Linked DNA regions of Stegostoma tigrinum. The protein of the gene in region 1 interacts with the protein of each later gene in a pairwise test. Links are inferred from orthologs where the notes say so. Each region holds a gene or a part of one and is shown on either strand. Other genes may lie near its edges. The genes, in order: rbm41 and RNA-binding Raly-like protein.

Region 1 (11,848 bases):
ATCATAAGAGATTTTGCACGAGAACATAAGAACTAGGAGCAGGAGGGAATTCAGCCCCTCAAATCTCATATGATCATGTCTGATTTCATCTCAGCCTCAACTCCACTTTCCTGCCCACTCTCCAAGACCCTTTGACCAATTACTAATGAAAAATCTGTCTAAGTGCTCCTTAAATTTATTCAGTAGTCCAGCATTCACCACACTCTGGGGTGGGAATTCCAAAGATTCATCCATTGAGAGAAGTAATTATTCCTCATGTCCGTTTTAAATCTGCCATCCCTTACCCAAAAACTATGACCTCCCTTTCCAGTTTGGAAATATCGGCTCTATGTCTACTTTATTAGTGCCCTTTGTTACTTTGGAAAAGTGAGGTGTACCTCAATCAGATGTCACTTTTCCAAACTCCAATGACCAGAGGTCTGAGCTGCTCAACATTTCTTAATAAGGCAGGCTCTGGAATTCATCCAGCAAATTTTTCTATACTAACAAGAATCTCACCACTTAGGGGATTTGCAACAGTCGTTCAAGAGCAGTGTCTATTATCAGTACAGGGGCTTGGACGTGACCAGTTAGCTGCTTAGCTATTTTAATTTAAAAACAATACATGGGGAGGTGATGGCTTAGTACTATTATGGCTAAGCTATTTTCCAGAAATACAGCTAAACTCCTGGAGAGATCTTCCATTTGAATTCCACCATGGCCAGATGGTGAAATTCTTCAGCACAAAATATCTGGAATTAGGGATCTACTGATGACCATTAACAATTGTCTATTGTCAAAAAAACCCTCTGATTCACGAAACGTCCTCATGAAGCAAATCTGTCATCCTCACTTGGTCTGGCCTACATGCGATTCCAGACCCACAACGATGTGATTGACTCTCAAATGCCCACTGAAATGATCCACCAAGCTACCCAGCTCTATCAATCACTATAAAATCTCAACAAATAAATTAAACTGGAGGGACCACTTGGAATTGGCCTAGACACAGAAAAGACAATCGCAGAAACACCCCAATTAAATCTGTCAAGTTCTCCTAATGACTAAGGCTAGTGTCAAATTGGGAGAGTTGTCTCTCAGACTGGTCAAGCAACATAACAGTCTGTTTCCGTGACTCTTCAGTCTAATTCGTCCATGCCGACCAGATATTTTCAATTAATCTAATTCCATTTGCCAGCATTTGGCTCATATCCCTCTAATCCCTATTGAAGTACCCATCCGGATGCCTTTTAAATCTTGTAATTGTACCAGCCTCCACCACTTCCTCTGGCAACTCGCTCCAGACAGACACGACTCTCTGTGTGAAAAAGCTGCCCCTTAGGTCCCTTTTAAATCTTTCCCCTTTCACCTTAAACCTATGCCCTTTAGTTGTGAAAAACTCTAACCTGGCAGTAAGACCTTGGCTATTCATCCTATCCATGCCCCTCATGATTTTATAAACCTCTATAAACCCCTCAGCCTCCGAAGCTCGAGGAAAAATAGCCCCAGCCTATTCAGCCTCTTCCTGTAGCTCAAACGCTCCAGCCCAGCATCATCCTTGTAAGTACTTTCTGCATTCTTTCAAGTTTAACATCTAATTTCCCTGCTGTAGATAAAAATTGAATGCAGAATTCCAAAATTGACCTATCCAATGTGCTGTGCAACCGCAACATGGCATTCCAATTCCTACACTCAATGCATTGGCCAAGAAAGGCAAGGGTACCAAAGGCCTTCTATACTACTCTGTTGATCTGTGATGGCACTTTCGTGGAATTATGAACCTGCAACCCAAGGTCTCTATTCGGCAACACTCCCCAGGACCCTACCATTTAAGTCCTGCCCTGATGTGCCTAAACAAATTGCAGCACTTCACATTTATCTAAATTAAACTCCATCAACCACTCCTCCGATCAAGGTCACGTTGCACTACACCACCAATTTTGGTGTCACAGCAAACTTGCTAACCATACCACTTATATTCACATCCAAATCATTCATATAAATGGCAAAAAGCAGTGGAGCCAGCACCAAACCTTGCGGCATATTGCTGGTCACAGGCCTCCAGTCCGACCAACAGCACTCCACCAACATCCTGTCTTCTACCTTCAGGCCAATTTTGTATCCAAATGGCTAGTTCTCCCTGGATTCCATGCGATCTAACCTTGCTAATCAGTCTACCATGTGGAACCTTATAGAATGCCTTGTTGAAGTCCATATAGACAAGTCCACTGATCTGCCTTCATCAATCCTCTTTGTCACTTTCTCAAAAAAGAAATCACTCAAGTTACCCATGGAATCATGCCTTAAAGACAATTTCCCAAACACCACCATCACCATCCCTGGATATTTTCTGTCCTACCGGCAGTGCAGGGCCAGTAGAGGTGGAGGCACAGTGGTATACAGTTGGGAGAGATTTGCCCTGGAGTCCTCAACATTGACTCCGGACCTACGAAGTCGCATGGGCAAGGAAATCCCTTGCTGATTATGACGTACTGTCCTACCTCAACTGATAACTCTGTACTCATCCATGTTGAATAACACTTGGAAGAGGCAATGAAGGTGGCAAGGGTGCAAAACATGCTGTAGGTAAGAGATTTCAGTGTCCACCACCAACACTAGCTGAACAACAGGCCTGCTAATTGAGTTGGTTAAGTCCTAAAGGACACAGCTATTACAGTGGTTCCGTCACTGCCCACCACGGACTCAACAAGAGGGAAAAACATACTTGGCCTCAAGCTTACCAATCTGTCCATGGCAGTATCGACAAGAGTGGCAACTGTACAGTCCTTGTGGAGCTGAAGTCCTGTCTTCACATTGAGAATACTCTCTATTGTGTTGTGTCACACCATCACTGTTTAGTTCAACACATTTTGAAACATCAAATGGATCTAGCAACTCACAACTTGGCATCCATGGAGATGCTGTGGGTCATCAATAGCAGCAGAATCCAGCACAATTTGCAATCCCATGGCCTGGGAAATTCCCCACTAATTCCCCATTACCATCAGGTAAAGCGATCAACATTGCTTCAAATGGAGAGTACAGGAGCACATGCCAGGTGCAGCACCAGGCATACCTAAAAATGAGGCATCAACTAAGTGAAGCTACCAAACAGGACCACTTGCATGTCAAACAACATAAACAGCAAGCAATAACAGCTAAGTGATCCCTAACCAATGAATCAGATCTAAGCTCTGTAGTCCTGCCACATCCAGTTGGGAATGCTGATGGACATTGAAACAACTCACTGGACAACTGGAAGTACTCAATACATCAAAGGATGTGGGCCCTGACAATATTCCAGCAAAAGTATTGAAGAGTTACCACTGACCAGAAACTGGACTTGCCAGATAAACAGTGACTACAAGAGAAGGTCAGAGCCGCGGAATACTGCAGTGAGTAACTCACCTCCTGACTCCCTAAAGCCTGTCCACTATCTACAAGGCATAAGACAGGATGGAATACTCTCCACTTGCTTGGATGGATGCAGATCCAATAACGCTTAAGAAGCTTGACAACATCCAGGGCAAAGCAGACTGTTTGACTGGCACCACAAAGACAAGCATCCGTTCTGTCCAATACCGATGCTCAGTAACAGTTAGCAGCATGTACTGTTTGCAAAATGCACTGCAGAAATTCACCAAAGATCCTTGAAAAGCAGCTTTCAAACTCAAAACCATTACCTCCTAGAAGGACAAGGGCAGCAGACACAAGTTCAAAGTCACTCAACCATCCTGACTTGGAAATATATCATCATTCAGTCACTGCCGCTGGTCAAAATCCTGGAATTCCATCCCTAAGGATATTGTGGTCAACCTATAGCAGGTGGATTGTAGTAGTTCAAGAAGGCAGTTCATCACCACCTCCTCAATGACAACTAGGGATAGGTAGTAAATTCTAGTCAGCCAGCAGAACCCATGTCTCATGAGTGAATTAAATTTAAAGAAAAACAACTTTGCGGTGTGAAAAACAAGTAATTTGCACTTTACATTTGGCTTGTTTAAACAGATTTCTTTTTACATTTGTTAATGTCTGCTTATTCCGGGAACTTGGGCATTAGGGTCAAACAGAAGATTATACTGACCTGACAATAAAGTCTGTAGAGAGGTACAGCCGCATATGACATGCCAATCATTCCAACTGCTGTTGCTGCTATATACGTGAGTACGGTTTTATTCTTCTTCTTCCATGCTTCCTCCTGGCTCCGAGTGAAGGGATTATGGTTCTTGATACCATGCACCGGCTGTTTCAAAGTCAGATAACTTGGCCTCCAAGGAGTATACCGAATAAATACTGAATACAGTCTTTGTGAGTTAGACTGTTGTAGTCTTCGTGCACAGATATGACAAGAAGACATGACATACAATCTTGAGATTCTTGTCCAACAGAACAAAGTCATGCTGATTATTAGTCAGATTGCTGTGTTAATGTGTAATCTTTACTTCTTTAGTGTAAATGGCAAATAGCAGTCTTCCTGCAATATCTGGAAATCAAAACCAAACTGTTATCACATTTCCCTTTATTAGTGAACACATCACACATGAATCATAGCCTACAGTAAGGGATTATGTTCTTTTAGGGCCCAAAAATTTGTTCAATGTGGCATGCGTTAAGTTGGATGAAATGTTTTCCCCTAAAACAAACCTTATGAATTGAAACCGTAAGGCGATAATATTGGGTATTGCATAAATCTACAAATTATTTGTGCAAGGTTAATAAAATCTTAGAATGAGTTAAACAAATGCATAGAAAAAAGAAAGGAATTTAGATGAATGTTTAGATCTAAGTTGTGAGAAATATTAACTCTGCTTTTTACCAACAGATGCTGGCAGCCTGCTGAGTTTCTACAGCAATTTATGCTATTGGTACTTGCTTATACATCTGTTTTGTTAACATCAGAATACCGCAAAACACTTTACAGCTAACATAATCATAATAAAGTCTAGGCACTTTTGCTGGGTAGAAAAACCCCACAACCATTCTGTACGTAGCATGCTCCGTAAAGTATAAACAATTGGTTCTCTGGCAGAAAGCAGAAAGCAGAAAGTCAAAAGGATAGCAACTGGTGACAAGTGGCGATCCACAAGGGTCAGTGTTGGGACCACAACTTTTTATTTTTGCATTAATGATCTAAATGAAGGAACTGAGGGCATTCTGGCTAAGTCTGCAGATGATACAAAGATAGGCAGAGGGATGGGTAGTATTGAGGATGTGGAGAGGCAGCAGAAGGATTTGGACAGGTTGAGAGAGTTGGCAAAGAAGTGGCAGATGGAGTACAATGTGGGAAAGTATGAGGTCATGCACTTTGGTAAGAAGAATAGAAGCATGGGCTGCTTTCTAAATGGGAAGAAAATTCAGAAGTCTAAAGTGCAAAGAGACTTGGGAGTTCGAATCCAGGATTCTCTCAAGGTAAACCTGCTGGTTGAGTCAGTAGTTAGGAATGCAAATACAACTTTGGCATTTATTTTGAGAGGACTTGAATACACAAGCAGGGCTGTACTTCTGAGATTCTATAAGGCTCTGGTCAGGCCAAATTTGGAGTATTGTGAACAGTTTTGGGCCCATATCTCAGGAAAGATGTACTCGCCCTGGAGCAGGTTCACAGGAGGTCCGGTAGAATGGTCCCAGGAGTGAAAAGCTTTGCATATGAGCAGCATTTGAGGGCTCTTTACTTAATGGAGTTTAGAAGGACTGGTGGGTGGGGGTGGAGGATCTACATGGAACTCACAAAATACTGAATGGCCTGGACAGTACAGATGTTGGGAAGATGTTTCCATTGGTAGGAGACTAGGACCCGAGGGTACAGCCTTAGAGTAAAGGGGAGACCTTTCAGATCTGAGATCAGGAGAAACTTCTTCAGCCAGAGAGAGTGGTGAATCTAAGGAATTCACTGCCACAGAAGGCTGTGGAGGCCAGGTCATGGAGTATATCTAAGACAGAGATAGATAAGTTCTTGACTGTCAAGGGGATCAAGGATTATGGGCAGAAAGGAGAATGGGGAGGAGAAACTTAATTATCTATTATTGAGTGGTGGAGTAGATTCGATGGGCTGAATAACCTAATTTCTGCTCCTATATCTTATGGTCTTAAAGTGCTGGAGAAGCTCAGTTGGTTTGGGAGCTGTGAGACAGTGTTAACATTACGAGACAGATATGACTTCTTCAGAGAAACTCTTTTAGTAACGTGATACTGGAGAATCTGTTTTTCTGGTGTTAATGAAGGGAGTTAGTATTAATTGAACAGGCTAGGAAGTAAGAACACCCTTCAAGCTTTCCGGGACAAAAAAAACTGCTCTAGAATTGTATACGTTCACTGAGAAAGCTGTTTAACATCTCATCCGAAAATCATGAGGGGCATTACAGTTGTATAGCTGTGATAATGGGAGCTGCAGATGCTGGAGAGTTCAAGATAAAGTGTGGAGCTGGATGAACACAGCAGGCCAAGCAGCATCTCAGGAGCACAAAAGCTGACGTTTCGGGCCTAGACCCTTCAAAAATTGTATAGCTAACCCGGAGATGGGCCTGACTAACTCGATGTCGGAACAAGGAAGAGACGCTCTCATTACCACTTGCAAAGTTCAAGATTTAATAATTTTCCATTTAACAGGGCCAGACAAATGGAAATGACTGTACTTAATATAGCCCAGACAACGAGCACAGCATTGTTATGAATATTCGAAGGCCTGCCCCACGACATTGAGATTCCCAGTGAGAACAACTAATTTACACTAACCCACATTGTCCCGGCCACAAACTCCATTCATTCAACCTCGCAGCTCCTTCTCATCAATCAGACGGAGGGGTTTGATCCCAGGCCCAGGCCCAGGGACACTCAAAATAAGTTACAGCCCCACAACCTCTCTACTACAAGGCCACAACATTACAGACTAATCATACGATCCACTTTAATTCAGTGGGGAAATATATACATCTCCAAAACGAATACCGTGTTCTGATAGTTGATCTTCTCCCACACAAAGCAAAACCTTTTTAACTATACTTCAGTTTCCGGAACAGCTATGAGCAATACTACATTACCCAGAATGCCAATCGATCGTCGCGCATGTGTAAGTGGCTTCAGATCACGTGCAGTCCCCTGCGGCAAATAGGACTGAGGCCGAACGACAATCGGCGCATGCGCGGGGTTGCTATTGTGTGAGTGCGGAGTATTGGAGTGAAGATGCGCAGGTAAATTAGAGAGAATAAGTATTCAGGTTATTACTGGGTTTTTACACATTACGTGCTTATAGTTAATGGGATAGGGGTTTCTGGACGATGAAAACACAGTTATTGATTCCGTTCCTGTCTGATGAAGGTCATTTTCATTGTTGGAAGAAGCCGAGGAACAGAGAGAAATGGCTGCCTATGGGGCTCTTGAAAATAGCCCTAATAGAAAAGAGTCGGAGTTATTACATCACTAACAGTCACATCTAATGCTGTTCAAAATACAAAATGAAACGTTTCGTTTAATGGTAACCTATATATGTAGCGAATAGGAGATAACAAAGTGTGGAGCTGGATGAACACAGCAGGTCAAGCAGCATCTTAGGAGCACAAAAGCTGACGTTTCGGGCCTAGACCCTGTTTATCTCAAGGCGTTACTTTCTTTTGTTTGCTCGGACGAATTCTGATGTCGTGCACTACTATTTGCAGCCAGTTATGATTTACTAAAACCTTCAAGATTTGCCGATTCCCGGTCATACTGAGCAAATGTTTAACACTTGTGCACTTTTATTATCAAAACGCTTTGTCTTCATTCAACCTCGATAATTCTGTTCCAAACATTTTCCAGATTGGTCATTTTAAAATAGTTGATCCTGCTTGTTTCTAGCATCTGGAAAGTAAAATAAGGGAATACGGATTGAGAATCTGTTGTGCTAATGCTCGTCAAACGTCAGGGAAGATGCATCTGTACGTTAAAGGGAGTTCTTTTTATAAGCCTGACAGTGAAAAGAAAGGGGATGGTTAGTTTAGTTGATTCGTTGTTGACGTTTTTCTGAGCCACAGAATGGGATTTTGAAGTGAACTTGGGTCTCTCTCCGTTTGGTCCTGGTCCTTGAAGGAATACAATGGTTAAAACATTACTTAGAAAAACTGCCAGGAAAATGGCACAAGATGAACTATCTGCCGACAGAGACAAAGACCTTCTGTCTTTGTTCAGTGCACTTATGATTGAAAGTGTAAAGACCGTTGTTAGTGTCTTTGTTCTAAAAGTGAAGATAATGTAATTACTGTAGTACCAATTCGTTTAGTGAGTATCCCCACTATATATGTTCCATAAAGCTTATAGCCCAATTCAATCAAACCTGGGACTATTGGCATTGGCTATTATTTGTTGACGAGAGGAGTGAGCTTCAGTTTGGGGAGACGATAAATTATTAATCCAGAAACTCAGCTAATATACTGGGAACAAAGCCTTGAATCCCACCAGGGCAGATAGTAGGTTTGCATTCAATTTTTAAAAAAAATTTGGGATTAGGAAATGTAATGATTCAAGTGCACCTAGGGACAGGTAATAGATGCTGGCCAGCCAACAATGCTCAAGTAAATTTTAAGAAAGATTTCTGAGGAAGGGTCACCAGACTCAAAACATTAACTTTGACTTCTCTTCACAGATGATACCAGACCTGTGGAGCTTTTCCAGCAAAACATCTGTTTATGTTTCTGATTTACAGCATCCACGGTTCTTTGCTTTTTTTTAAAAGCAGGTATCCTGGGAACAGAGAACAAAAATAATCAACCAGAGTTTCCACTTTTCATTTTTGGAGTGATGCCTGATGAGAGCCCTAGTGTATGGCTATTTGCTGAAGATGGAGTAGACTTAGCAAAATGTTTTGTTTCTAATAACTTGCATTTTTAAGAAGGCAATAATAGACACTGCTGTTTCTGAAAGAGCAAATGATAAATAAATGAAGACTATTTGCGAGTAGAATTAGATGAATAAATCACACACAAAAGATACACAATTTATTTAAGCCATTAGAAAAATAGTTTTGCTAAATTTATTAAAAGGATCAATCTAATAAAATAGGGTATTAGTGAAATCACTTCATTCCTCAGGACTGTTGAGAATCTAGGCTCAGTATTCTCAGTCTCACTTTATTGGATAGTCTGCCTATTTTAGGAATGAGTCTGGTGAACCTTTGTTGCAGTCCATCTCTGAAATTTTTTTTTTATTGTAATTAATAGTAATAAATGTAGTCCTGTGTTGCAGCTTCACAAGGTTGATACATAATTTTTAGTTTTGTCCGAATTGTTGTTCCTGGCACGGCCTCCTGCCTTTATGGTAATGGTAGATTAGGAGCTGTGCTGCGTTACAGATTGTGGTTGCAAAAAACTTTGTACTGCTGAAGGCCCATAGCACTTCATGGAGGCCCAGACTTGAGCTGGTAGATCTATTCAAAATCTTTCCCAGGGTGGTACACAACATATAGGACAGTATCCTCAATGTAATCCATAACTTAATATATGACAATGGCTGAAGGTAAGAGCAAGAGAAGTTCCTCGTCAGCCATTTGACGTAAAGGAATTGGGGTCTGTACCACAACTATCCACAGCATGAGTTTCCAATATACATGTACATGTGGACATTACCACATCAGTCTGGACGTCTTGGAAATGCAGACAGGGAGAGAGGTGATAGTTTTAGCCATGTCTGAATCTCATTTCTATCAATAACACTGTGTTCAATCTCACTTCTGCTGTGGATTTGGGTCCTGTTGCCATGCCATCCCTATTGTGATGCTGTTGGTTGGACTAACCTTTGGCAGAGGAGAACTGTTTAAGAAATAATATTAGAACTTATTTCAGAATTCCAGACAGAACTTAATTTTTTGAATGCTAGCTCAAAAGTACAATCGATTGGTCTTATTCACTGAGTTGATTAAAAAGATCTACGTTAGAACAGCTGAGCAGAAAAATCACATTGATTAATGTCAGTCTGACAGATTAAACAGTGAATGTTTAGCATCTCTTGGCTGTCAGTGAAATACATGCATATTTTAACTTGAAAATATTATTAGGAACAAAGGAAATTAAGCCTTTTGTGAAGCTGAAATAAGGATCTCACTGTTCTGGTTCTTATTGCTAACTTCCAGTTTCCAAATTCAAAATTACATATTAATTGTGGCCTTTTTGCATTTTAATCCTGATGTAATGTAAGCAAGACACCTCTTATTCCCTTTTAAAATTTAGGGTTAGTAGTCGTATAAGTGGTGATGATGATGTTGAGCCAGAGGAGCTGGAGACAGAAGGAGAGAGGCAATTGCAAAACCTCTTGAAGCACCAGTTAGACACAAGCGTAACACTTGAAGAGTGAGTATTGGAACATTTCTTCAGTGATGTTTTTGTATGAATAAAACCAAGTAAGAAAGTAATGTTTGTGTACATTTTAATGCATTGTAGTCCTTTCAAAATTATGACAAAATGGAAAATGCTGGAAAACTCAGGTCTGTCGGCATTCAGAGAGAAGACAGAGTGCTTCTTGTTGAATCCCTTTATGCTGATTGATGTTCTATGCAATTCCAGCATTTTCTGTTCTTACTTCGTATTTGCAATTCTGGATTATTTTTTGTTTTTATTTCTACAGGTATTTAAAGGCTTACCTCTTTTTTTTTCCAGTTACCTCCAGGCTGCACAAATAAATCCCAATTTAGAATGAAATCTCAAATAAAGATTCTGTCACATAATTTCATTGTCTTTTTCGAAGGTTTAAATGGTGGAATCACCATAAAGTGGTAATTAATGCATTCAGAATTCCTGTATTATAGCAACTTTCTCAACTTGTGCTGTTAAACAAACAAAATGTTATTTTATTTAGAGGCATTAGTTGCTTTCATTTACCCAATTACACTAATCAATGCAATTTTATAGTTTTTTTCCAAAATGTAAGATTACCAAATCATAACAAAGAACAAAGAAACCTACAGCACAGGAACAGGCCCTTCGGCCCTCCAAGCCTGCACCGATCAAGATCCTCTGTCTAACCTGTCATCTATTTTCTAACGGTCTGTGTCCATTTGCTCCCTGCCCATACATGTATCTGTCCAAATATATCTTAAAAGACGCTAACGTGTCTGCGTCTACCACCTCCGCTGGCAACGCGTTCCAGGCGCCCACCACCCTCTGTGTTTTTATAAAAAAAAATCCATAGGAAGATCTTCCATTCCAGATGGCAGCAACGAAATGTGTGCCATTTCCTGTAGTATGGGCAGAAGTAGCTGGCTCTGTTACCTTTTAACATAGTGAAATAATCTGATTATTTAAATTTGCTTACAAATGCAACAGTGTGGTTACAAGTGGGAGTTCACACATTGATGTTTTCTAAGTGTATCTTTGCTTTGCGGTAAAATGCAAAAATGAAGGGGTTGTGGATTTATGAATCCTGCCTGAAAAGAAATGTGTGTGGCTTGGTTGTCAAAGGTTTAAAGGGAGGCTCAGGATATTACTGGGAAGAAGGTGTAAAACGTGGCAAGGGCATCTATGCTGGCTGTGGGTATTTTGTTAGCTGCAAGTTTCACAAGGATGTTTTCAGAATGAGGTTTTATAAACTCTTGAAATTTAATCTGAATTTAATTTCAAGTTGAAATGGAGTTCAGTGGATCTAAGCAATAACTAATCAAACGAGCCATTTTGCAGCAAACAGCTCAATATAGAACAGAGAACATTACAGTGCAGTGGATGTGAGTTTGCTCGCTGAGCTGGAAGGTTCGTTTTCAGACGTTTCATCACCATTATAGGTAACATCATCAGTGAGCCTCCGGTGAAGCGCTGGTGTTATGTCCCGTTTTCTGTTTATCTGTTTAGGTTTCCTTGGGTTGGTGATGTCATTTTCTGTTCTTGTTCTCAGAGGATGGTAGATAAGCTCCAAA
Region 2 (11,274 bases), on another chromosome or scaffold:
TCCTCAACTAATTGCTGCTGGCATTATTTAGTTTTTACCTCTCAGCATTATGTTCACCCCATCAACTTGGAAACATGATGGCTGCGTGCAGGAAAAGAATATCTTCTCAGTCCTATGTTTCGATAAGAAATATCAAAAGCTCCCTCTCAATTGATACCTGTAATAATATAATGATTTAGAAGTTATGTTAGAAGCCTGAAACTTGATTTCATTAAGGTTCACAGATTGATTGATTATCATTAGCTAAAGAAAAAAATCTTATGATCAATCACATTGAAAAAGATTTTCTAAATCATTTTACAATGAACTAATTGCTTTGTAAATAAGCACAGAACATGCTGGAGAAATTCAGCAGGTCTGGCAGCATCTGTGGATGGTGGAAGAGTTAAAATTTCAAGTCTGGTACCAGATTTCCAGCATCTGCAGTTTTTTTTGCCATAATTTCTTTTGAATTCCAGCCACTGTTGTTCTGTAGGAAAACTAAACGCGCTACAGCTCACAGTATAAACCTTTATTTTGGAACAGTCAACATTTTTATTGTTGTTAGGAAGTTTCTTCAGTTACTCAGCATGCCAAAGTTGGAGTCTACTAACTCTGAACTTACAGGCAATCCATTCCATTTAAAAATGAAAATTTTAGCAGCTGCAAACTCCAGGAAAAATATCTTAATGTTTAGCTAAAATTTTCTGTGTCTGAAATGTCCCTTTAAAAGTTTAATTTATTGCAGATCTAATAAAATGTCAGTATTACTGACTGACTTTGTTACATTGACAGTAGTACCTTTATATTTACAGTACACCCCCAAACAAATTCAAATGTCTCTAAATACTTCATCAAAGTTATAAAGTGAAATTAGGCATTGGGTCCAACTGGAGATATTTGATCAGATGACCAAAATCTTAGTTAAAGAGATGTATTTTTAAAATTGACTTAAAGGGAAAGCACAGCAGTAGAGAGGGAATTGTGGAACTTAAAGACCAAGCAACTGAAGGTATGACCACCAACATGGGAGGGATTAAAATCAGAGATAGCCTAGAGGCCAGAATTGGATGAGCACAGAAATTTCAGTGGTTTTTCAATGTGAAGGAAGTTGCACTGATGGGGAGAGATGAGGTCATTGAAAAATGTGAAATATTTTGAAATCAATGGCAGCATGGTGACTTAGTGGTTAGCACTGCTGTCTCTCAGTGACTGGGGTTCGATCCCACTCTTGGACAACTTTCTGCGTGGAGTTTGCACATTCTCTCCATGTCTGCATAGGTTTCTATCAGGTCTGGTTTCCTCCCAAAGTCCAAAGATATGCAGGTTAGGTGGATTGGCCATGCTAAATTGCCTGAGGTGTTCAGGGATGTGTACGTTAGATGGGTTGCGGGGAAAGGGTAGGGGGATGGGTCTGGGTGGGATGCTTTGAGGGTTGATGTGGACCTGTTGGTCTGAAGAGCCTATTTCCAAACTGCAGGAATCCTGTGATCCAACATCTCACTTGATCAGCAGCCAATTTAGCCTCAGGAACCACAATAGAAATAAGAGAGTAAGACAAGGTACGAGGTAAGACATGAGCTGCAGACGTTTGGATAACCATAAGGTTCTGGAGGCTAGAATGTGAGAGTATGTTGGATTGACCAAGTCTAGGGCTATAAAGGCATGAGGGTTTGTGCAACAGACAAGCTAAGGCAGAGTCAAAGTGGATGATGCTACAGAAGTGAAAATAGGTGGTTTGGTAATAGTGTAAATATGCTGTTAGAAGTTCATCTCCAGGTCAATACAGTAGCAAGGAAGCAAACATGAGTTTTACAAAATGTTCCCTTCACAAAGGGGAAAGGAGCACAAGCTTAGCTGTCCACTGTTACAGAAAGAGGTGATGGTATGCACTGTCATTGTTAAATATCAGAGTTTGAATGCTGAGTTAAGCATATACTTTTCTGGTCAGAGTTTTATTCTAGCTCATATATCACAAAATTCCCAGCACATATACATTACATGCAGTCATGTTCTCATCCAATTGCCCCTTCATAAACACAGAATCATCGCTTGTTTCCTAGTTCCACTTGGCCTCATCAACTCCTGCTAGACCCTACTTGATATTAACAGATTCCTTTTCTATTCATTTAAAATAAATTCATAAACAACAACACTAATAATAAACCAACAAAACATATATGCAGAAATAGCAACATATTTTATGCCTTTTTTCTGAAATGTATATTCAAGTTCCAAATGTCATTTTCCAGTATTTCTATTAGTTTCTAAAAGCATGCTCCATTTTTCTTATGTATATTTTCCCCATTGACCTGCTCAGGAATACTATTACACACCTCTGGAGTAGGCGGGGCTTGAACCCAGGCTCTCCTGGTGCGGGGATAGGGACGCTAACACTGTATCACAAGAGCATCTACTTGCTCTATGCTTCATAAAGCAATCAGATGGCTGACAGCTGCTACCCACCCATTTCAATCTGGGGGTCTCTCTGTCCTTTAGCCTCACTTTTAAAGCTGCAATATCAATCCTGTCATTTTTCATTAGCTCAAAAATCACATGACACTGGGTTATAGTCCAATGATTTATTTGAAAACACAAGCTTTCAGAGTCTTTTTCCTTATTCAGATGTTAGCAAGAGAGGTGGCATCAGATGCAGAATTTAGAAGCAAAAGATCAAAGGGTCATAGAACTGATGTGAATGCATTGAACAAACCTAAGATGGCCATTAAATCTTTAATTAGTTCAAAAGGTGATGCAGGTTTTGACTGATTAATGTGCAAATCCCAGAATTTCTTTCAAGTCACTGCCTCGAGATACCTAAAGGTTTTATCAGTATTACTGAGGTGATATCTCAGGTTAGACAATGCATTTTAGGTGTGAAGCCTTGTTTAGAATCTGTCTGTGCTTTAACTTGGAGTCAAACTGGTTTTATTTCCAAAGTAGGAATTTATAAAATGCTACATTGACTGTCAACAAATTATGTGCTTTTTGAACAAAATAGAATGTATCTGCAATTACAAATCTGCAAATGTGAATTCACCCCATAGATCTACGTATGTCTGTGAAAAATGGACAATATTTCTCACAAATTATACTTCACTTGCCAACTCTTTGCTCACTCACTATGTTCCTTTGTAACATTGTTACGTCTTCTTTGTAACTTACTTCTCTAACCTATTTGTATCATCAGAAAATTTAGCAAGATAAACTGACTAATTTTCCTTCCCTCAGTTAAAAGTTGGACAATGGTGAAATTTTAAAACATTGAAATTAACCAGAATGCACTATTCTTAACTGAAAAATTGAAGTGTTTTCCAGGAAAGTAGTTTATAGGAATTTATGAAATAATGAGAGGTAAAGATAGAGTTAATGGTAATTGTCTTTTCCCTAGGATGGGGAATTTCAAGACAGAGGGGTACATTTTTAAAGTAAGAGGACAGAGATGTTAAAAAAAGACATAAGAGGCACAGTTTTTATAAAGTGCGTGGTTTGAGTGTGGAATGAACTTCCTGACAAAGTGGTGGATGCAGGTACAATTACAATGTTTAAAAGACATTTGGATGGCTGCATGAATAGCAAAGGTTTGGAGGGACATGGGCCAGGAGTAGGCAGGTAGCTTTCGTTTAGTTTAGTATTATGTTCAGCATAGACTGGTTGGACCAGAGTCTGTTTGCGTGCTGTATCACTCCATGACATTTACCTTCTCTGTAGTGCTAGTAGGCACGGGAAAGGCAAAAGATACTATTTGTAAGGATTATGAACATCCTTAAACTAGCTAATTATAGTTGTGATCTCTTGAAAAAAAGCTACTGATGAGGGCAACATGCCCATCAAGTACTTTCCATCAACAATGTATCATGTAAAAACAGAATATTACTCTGTGATACTTGCAAATATGATCACCAATATCTGTTTTATTATTTGTATTGACTATTTCCTCTGTCAGTACTTTTCAAATGCATCCCCCTTGTGACCCCACTTGAAAATGGTCACGACCCCGCAATGAAATGCATTTGAGTGGGAAGGTGGCTGGATAATTGTAATTAATGGTTGGAGTTCTGAGGTGGCCATTACTGCTTTGAATTTCAGGACATCAAAATAGATCAGCTCACGACCCACTTGAAGAAGCTCTGGTCTAAGTACCTCAATTAGCTTATCGGAAATAAAGTGTATTTCAAACATTGAAAGCTTTGCCACTGTATTTCAATACGCAACAAACCAATACAATTCATTTATTGGAGATAGTGGGCGTTTGTTGAATTAAAAACGTACGATATGTGCGAAGTATGCAAATGTTTGCTATCAAAACCTGCGTTTTTTTATAAATCAAAAATTTGCAAACGGGTTATACCAACATTTTTTATTACTAATTTCTCCATTGAATATTTTAATACAAAAGGGCTTTTGTAAACTTGTCACGCTGTAATTACCCTACCCCACCAGTTGAGGCATTACATTGACCACGTGCAAAAAGGCTGATTTATACTGTGGCGTATTTACAATGGACATTTTCAAATTTAAATAAATTATAATTTATGTTGGAAATGTTAAATATAAGATCCAATTACGTCTTTGCATCCTGGTAGAATTTACCAGGCTGTCGCAATCCACCTCAGGTAGTGATAGTTGTAGGTTTTCACTCTCTGCAGCGCCACGGAAGGTCGACTTGAAGCGATAAAACCAATAGTCATTCTCACTGACGGTACTTTATAAGTCGTAATATTTTTTACGCAGTCTCTCCAGTAATAAAGGCACATGTAGAGCATTTTTTTTCATTCGTGTCTGTGATCAGAATTCTCATTGCCTGCAAATAGTTGAGTTACTTTGACTTAAATGTCCGCCTTAGTGATTAAAATACACCGAGGCCAGTTTGTTTCAAGTCATTCAGTACTGTATGATCAATCATCCAAAAGTGAATGTAACTGGAGAAAGTAGGAAATGCATGAAGGATAAAAACACATTAAAAGATTGGGGAAGATTATGCCTAACTCGATCGGTTTATACATATATACCAAACAGTGTAAGGCATTCTTATATATAGTGGAGATGACAAAGCCAAGGACAGTACATATATGTACATCTGTTATGGAGGGAAAATGGTGAGAATCATGCCATTGCCTTCATATCCGGAATCTAGTTAGTATCTTTGGTTTTTTTTTCATGACGAGACTACAGGAAAGCTGATAAAACCAGTGGCTTTCTGACCTCCTGTATGATACTTTCACGTTGTTTTAAATGACGAATTCTTGTTCTGTGTGTAATGTTGCGGTATAATTACGATGCTATTTCAAAGGTAGGTCGGAGCAAGGCAGATTTCTAATAGTTTTAACCGTATGCTGTTGTGACTTGTAAAAGTTTTCTTTGATTTCAGGAGAAAACTGCTTGAGATTATTTTTTAATGTTTTAATTGTCCTTCTTTGGTAAAAGTGTTGTTGTTTTCTGTTGCCTTACGTGTGCCATATTCCGGCTGTCGTCCACCAGAAACGTATAAGAAGGTGGGCAGTGTGAAACGTACTATGTTTAATATATTAAAATCCGATCAACAAGAATTTTTAAAAATGAAAACACAGTCCATTTGCTTCACGTCCGCGTACACACTGCCAGACAATGTCGCCACTTGTTTCTCCTGCCCAACAACATCCGCTTACAACTAATTATTCCCAAAGAAAGGCTGGCAGTCCGAGCTTTCGACCAAAACTGCGTTAATAAGTAAATAAGCCGCCCACAAGTAAGATTTTGTTTTCAGAGAGAGAGGGGGGAAGTAAAATAGGTGACTGATTTTGTAACACTCCCACCAAGTAAAACAAAATGCCTGTCCCTGAGTAAGGTGGACGGTCCAATAAAAATGATCATCTCTCGCAGGTATTCGCAAAAGGTTGCAGCATCCGTCACTGGGGCTCCCAGCCCTCATCACCCGGCTTTCTACACTACCACCCCCTCTCGACACTGTCAGCGCTCCCACCCTCACACCGTCCCTGTCTCCAAACCCGACAGTCTCCCGGTAACCCAAGCGGACTGCACCATATGATTTTGTTTTTCAGGGATGCGCCGCTCGCTTTCAAAGGGGGAACATGCCAATTGCAGCCGCTCGGCGGTGAGGGAGAGGAGCGGGGTGTAAAACGCCGGGGTGCGGGCTCGCGCTGGAGGCAGACGAGTCGGGTCGGCCTTTGATCTTGGGTGGAGGAGGTTGCGGGGGGAGGGAGGTTGGGGGAGACTGGGGTTGGATTTGTGCCTCTGACAGCCTTTGGGCATTGCTGGGAGCAGGCTCTCTCGGATCACGTGCCTTTGCCTGAGGCTGAGGGCGCTTCATTACTCCTTCCACCGCCATATTACAAACTTCAGTATTTTTCTCTCTCTTGAATTTTTCCCGCTCGGTGAGTAGGTTTTTTTACTATCTGAAATTTTTCAGTGCTTTTTTTTTGTCATTTTCATTCCTTTTTAACTACATTTTTTTTTAAAAAAGAAAAAGACAAAGATCGAAAGAAATTGTGCCGATGAAGCATGGTTTATAAAATCTATTTTGCGGAATAAGTTCTTGCATGCTGTATAGTGTTAAGTCAGTGACGGCGTTGGCAAAAAAAAGGAACTGTGTATATTTTGTAATTTTTTTTGTTACTGTTGCCAGCCCCCCGAGTTTTTTTTTCAATACGCATGCATAGCGGTAGTATTTTTCTCTCAAGAAAAGACTCCTATTGTGTTGATTCTATTTGCAAAGCTTTATTGGTGTATTTTTCCATGCCGGTATTAACACAATTTGTGTGCTTCGCTTGGTTGAGCTGAAGTGACAAGCTACCAAAAGCACGATTTGAAGCAAGTTTTATTTGTCGACAACAGCAAAAGTGTTTTGCAGACTTTCCTACAACGCAATTTTTTTCGAAAACAGGAAACTTTTCTCTCAGCTTGTTGCTTTTTTTCTTGAAATAATTTTCCTAAAGGTGTACTTTATTTCAGACGGTTGCGGTTTTTTTTTAAAACAAAAGAACAGATCTGTTTTCCAGTTGTTGGATTTTTAAAAACAATTAATTCCCCCCCCAAAAAAAAGTTGTGGATGGCTGTGGAAGTTCTTGAGGGGCAAATGAAGTACGTTATTGTTTATACTGTTTACAGAAGGCACGTCGACACATCAGCAAAGGTACTTACTTCAGGGCCAATAACAAATGTCATCAGAAAAGCTGGGAATAAAATATTGATAAAGTAAATAACGTGTGTTTTATTTAATGTTTTCTTCAGTGACTAGTCTGCCTAACAGGTCCATTGCACTGTAGAGCGTGTGTTATGTCTGATTTGCCTGATACGTAGAATCCTTTTTGCGATATTGCCGAATATTACTATGATTTCATTAAATTGCTTCAGTGAAAACTTAATGCTTTCCGATGAAGAGCTTCTGGGAGCAGTGATGGAAAATCAGTGCATCATGTTTCTAACAGTGCTACTACAACGTAAGTAAAGGTGGTCTGATGCCTCAGGCGACAGCATGCATTGCAATGTTTGACATTACTTATATGTGCATTCCGCTTGTCATATAGTAGAATTGCACGTTCTCCCCTTTTTTTAAATCACCAGTGATTTCATTGAAAACAGTACCGTTCGGTGTGTTTTCGTAAAATAACGTGGCCGGGAGTATTCTTGTCTAAAATTCAGTCCTTGTACGGAAAGGAATGTGCCAGTCGAAGGGATAACAAGCCCGTTTGATATTGCAGAAGTTTAGAAAGTTTCAACATTTTCTAAACAAAGCGATAGCTGAGCATTCCTATTTGGCGCGAATTTATAATTTCAGTCAAACCTTCAACGTCAGATTTTCATTGACCAGGTAGGAAAAAAATCTAATAAGATTTAAAAGATAACGTTACAGGGATTTGACCCGGTTACACCTATCGATATGAAGAATGGCCTGGCACCTTTTTTGCTTTCTGCAGACACTACCGAGAAGATTTACTATTCAGATGTAGTTTATCTTTCACGACGTCCCACCCCCGACACAGCACAAAAAAGGGCTGTTAGCTTCAGTTAGCTCTCGTTTTGCTGGTTCATAAGCCGTTTACGCCGCTTCTGTGCACTGCTCGAGCAAAAGGTTCACATTAGTTACCACAGGATTTGCAAACCAAGATTTAACCGTACTGCAGTCATTCTAAACAGCGTTCGGTATTGTCTAGTTGTTAAAAAGATTGTTCCACAACGTGTCTAAAAAAATCAAAACACCTGCTGGCTTATGTTTGTTTACTGTTGTAAAGATAGTTATGGAATTCACAACAGTAAAAATAAGCCTTTTGAATCAGCCAGGCTAAATTGGTTTTTGCAGAATGTGATCTTACTTGGAAGATAAAATTCCTTTGGTGAATTTCAGCATTGTTGTTGAGTTTCCAATTGATCTCCAAAGGTTTGAAACAGTTCAGTGTGGTCAAGTTATTCCATTTGTAGTATATTGATGCTGCTGAATGTTTTCACGCGGCACAGTATCATGCCAATTCTTGACTATTCATCAGAAGCCACCAATCTTCATGCCTGAAGATGAAGTGTAGGTACATATAGTAATTGCCATTAGTAATGTCACACAGAAACTAAGGTGCTGTTATTATAGTGTTAACACTGACCACGTGAATGCTATATTGGTTGTTTGCAGTAGCTGTTATCAATGCAGTAAACAAAGTGACACACAGTTAAGTTGTTAAATTCAATGGCAAGATTTGGTTAAATATTCCCCTTTTAAGCAAGGCTAAAGCTGGTGAAATATGAACACTTTATTTTCCTTCATGTAAATACCTTAATTAACACTGAATTTCCAGTCCTAAGATTTGAGGAACATAAAGCTAGCTTTAGATATTCAACACATTTAATATGACATATTTCTAGAATGTAAAATAATGCACTTTCTTTTCTTTTAAAAAAGTCGTCCTTCGGGATCTAAATGCTAACGGACTGAGAGGTCAGGTTCACAAAGACGGACTGATTTTCTGTGGGATGGTGTTTGAAGAGCCGTATGATGTGGGATAAGCTATAAAAATCTTCCAAAGTACTTGATGATAATCAAGATGAATAAACATAGCTGAGAGGGAAAAATTGCTCAAGAATGAATTAGTTTCTCTATAGTCTGCTGTTGTGATTAAACATTCAGTTTAAAAGAATGGACAAAAGCAAACCTTTTCTCCTTCATATTCAGTGGTATTAGCATTGCTGAATCCTTGACCACCATTGGCCAGCTGGTTAACTAGACCGGTAATATAAATACTGTGACTACAAAGAGTAGATCAGAGTCCGGGAATACTATGGTGAACAACAACTCATTCCACTTGCCTGGATGCACGTGGCTGCAGCAACTCTGGACACAATGAAGGTCTGATTAATTGCCGCTCTTAAGCATTCACCACTTCCACCACTCTGCACAGTGAATGCAGTGTGGACCATCTAAAAAGTGCATTACAGCAACTCAGCAAGACTGCTTCAACAGTATCTTCTAAAGGCAAGACATCCATTTAGACGAAGGGCAGCAAAAAGTAGAAAATGCTGAGAAACGTAACACAACTTACAGCGTCTGTGGAGAAACAGTTCTCCTGTTTAGAGTTCAAAAATACTCTTCCTCAGAACAGTTACGAAGAAAAGTCAGTTTGGACTGAAAATGTTAACTATTTTTGCTCTCTGCACAGATGATGCCAGACTTGCTGAGATTTTACAGCACTTTTTTTTTAAACTTCAGACTGTAGCATCTGCAATATTTTGTTTGTGTCACTTGCAAATTGTGCAGTATACCGATTTTTAAGCTCTGTTATCATCCCTTCACTGTTACGTCAGTATTCTTGATTTGATTTGCCTTTCAATAATGGAGGTATTCTTAACCCTACATGGATGGCAACTGCTGAAGAATGCTTGCCTTACCACAGTCCTAAAAATATATTCAGAAAATATATTTTAAAGCTGTTGGTAAAGTGTTGATATGATGAACTTTGAGATCAAGATTATGATACAAATGGGAAAAAAAATGTTAGCTAAAGTCGACAGCATTGTTTGATTATGACTTAAGATAATTCACTATGAAGCATGAAGATCACATTCCCTCTCTATCTAGAAACATGGAAGTGAGAAGAATGAAGAATAGAGCTAATCTCTCAAATGATTTAGTAGGGTATGAATTAAGCTGAAGAATTTCAAGCAGAATAGTGCCTCTGTGTTTGGCTGAGAATCATTGAGGATAATACTAGTCTCGGGTATACAGGATGTAGAATATTAAATTATAAGTCATTTTAAACCAGTGGATGAGAAAATTTACTATCATACATTTTTCATTACTGGTGAAGACAAATTTATGATTGAAGAACATAACTTTACTTTGGACTTGCCAGTAAAAAAAATCTAAAACTGTAATGACTTGGATTTATGAATAGACATTGGTATTATTAAACCTAATTGATATGCCAGTGAACCATGAATGGCTAACACTAATCTGTGATAAGGTCAGAGGAAGCTGCAGTGTATTTGACAAGGATTAACAGGAAACAGAGGCAAGGGATAGCCACTTGAGTTGTATAGATAACAGGTAACCAGAGGCAGAGCTGCTCCAGACAGAACAATCTTGTTAGGCTGTCAGACCAGATAGCAGTTGTTCTGAAGGTGACTGAGGCATGCTGAGAACAGTGATAAATGTGGCAACACTTGGAAAAGGATTCAGTTTTTGTAGTGAAAAGACTAATATGGTCCCAGGTGGATTGTTGAGTGACAGGATTTTACATCAGAATGCAGATGAAGATGTGAAAATGCACGCAACTGGCTCTCACTTGTATTTCAGCATTACTGCAGAGCTTTTAGTTCAAAGAAACTTCTGTTTCATCATGAGGTATAAGGAGACTTGTCCAATTTCAAAAGTTGGCTGCTAGAAAGAACATTGTACGAGAAAGGTAAGAAGATTAATTTTGTTATAAATACAAAGTTTAAAAGTTTTGGGACAGTTCAAAATTTTGGAGAAGATAGAGAAATGAAAGAGTTGTGACCTATTCTCAGTAAAAACCGAAAGAACTGTGGATGCTGTAAATCAGGAACAAAAAAACAAAGTTACTGGAAAAGCTTAGCAGGTCTGGCAACGTCTGTGACGGAAAAAAACAATTAACGTTTCAGGTCCAGTGATCGATCCTTCACAGATGCTGCCAGAACTGCTGAACTTTTGTAGCAACTTTGTTTTTGTGACCTATTCTCATCTCTGTTCATAGTAAGCCGAGATGATTTATTTTGTTTTACTGGGAAGAAGGTACAAGATATTTATAAATGATGACCAGAACAACTGTGCTGATGGTGGATGGATTGTCTGTG

The links.
Region 2: the proteins of rbm41 (region 1) and RNA-binding Raly-like protein interact in binary tests that used the Homo sapiens proteins (3 or more experiments, as listed by UniProt). The two-hybrid records come from large-scale screens. The link is inferred for Stegostoma tigrinum from reciprocal best matches to the Homo sapiens genes RBM41 and RALYL.

What each region holds. Positions count from the first base shown.
Region 1 is NC_081368.1:42,183,328-42,195,175, forward strand, and holds the start of rbm41 (RNA-binding protein 41), read left to right. Parts: upstream 1-7,082; 5' UTR 7,083-7,158; coding exon 7,159-7,166; intron 7,167-10,172; coding exon 10,173-10,292; intron 10,293-11,848. Other genes in the region: cytochrome c oxidase assembly protein COX11, mitochondrial, read right to left, coding at 4,064-4,378. UniProt on the Homo sapiens protein: May bind RNA.
Region 2 is NC_081358.1:84,350,161-84,361,434, forward strand, and holds the start of RNA-binding Raly-like protein, read left to right. Parts: upstream 1-6,204; 5' UTR 6,205-6,353; intron 6,354-7,332; exon of another isoform or gene 7,333-7,418; intron 7,419-8,866; exon of another isoform or gene 8,867-10,865; intron 10,866-11,274.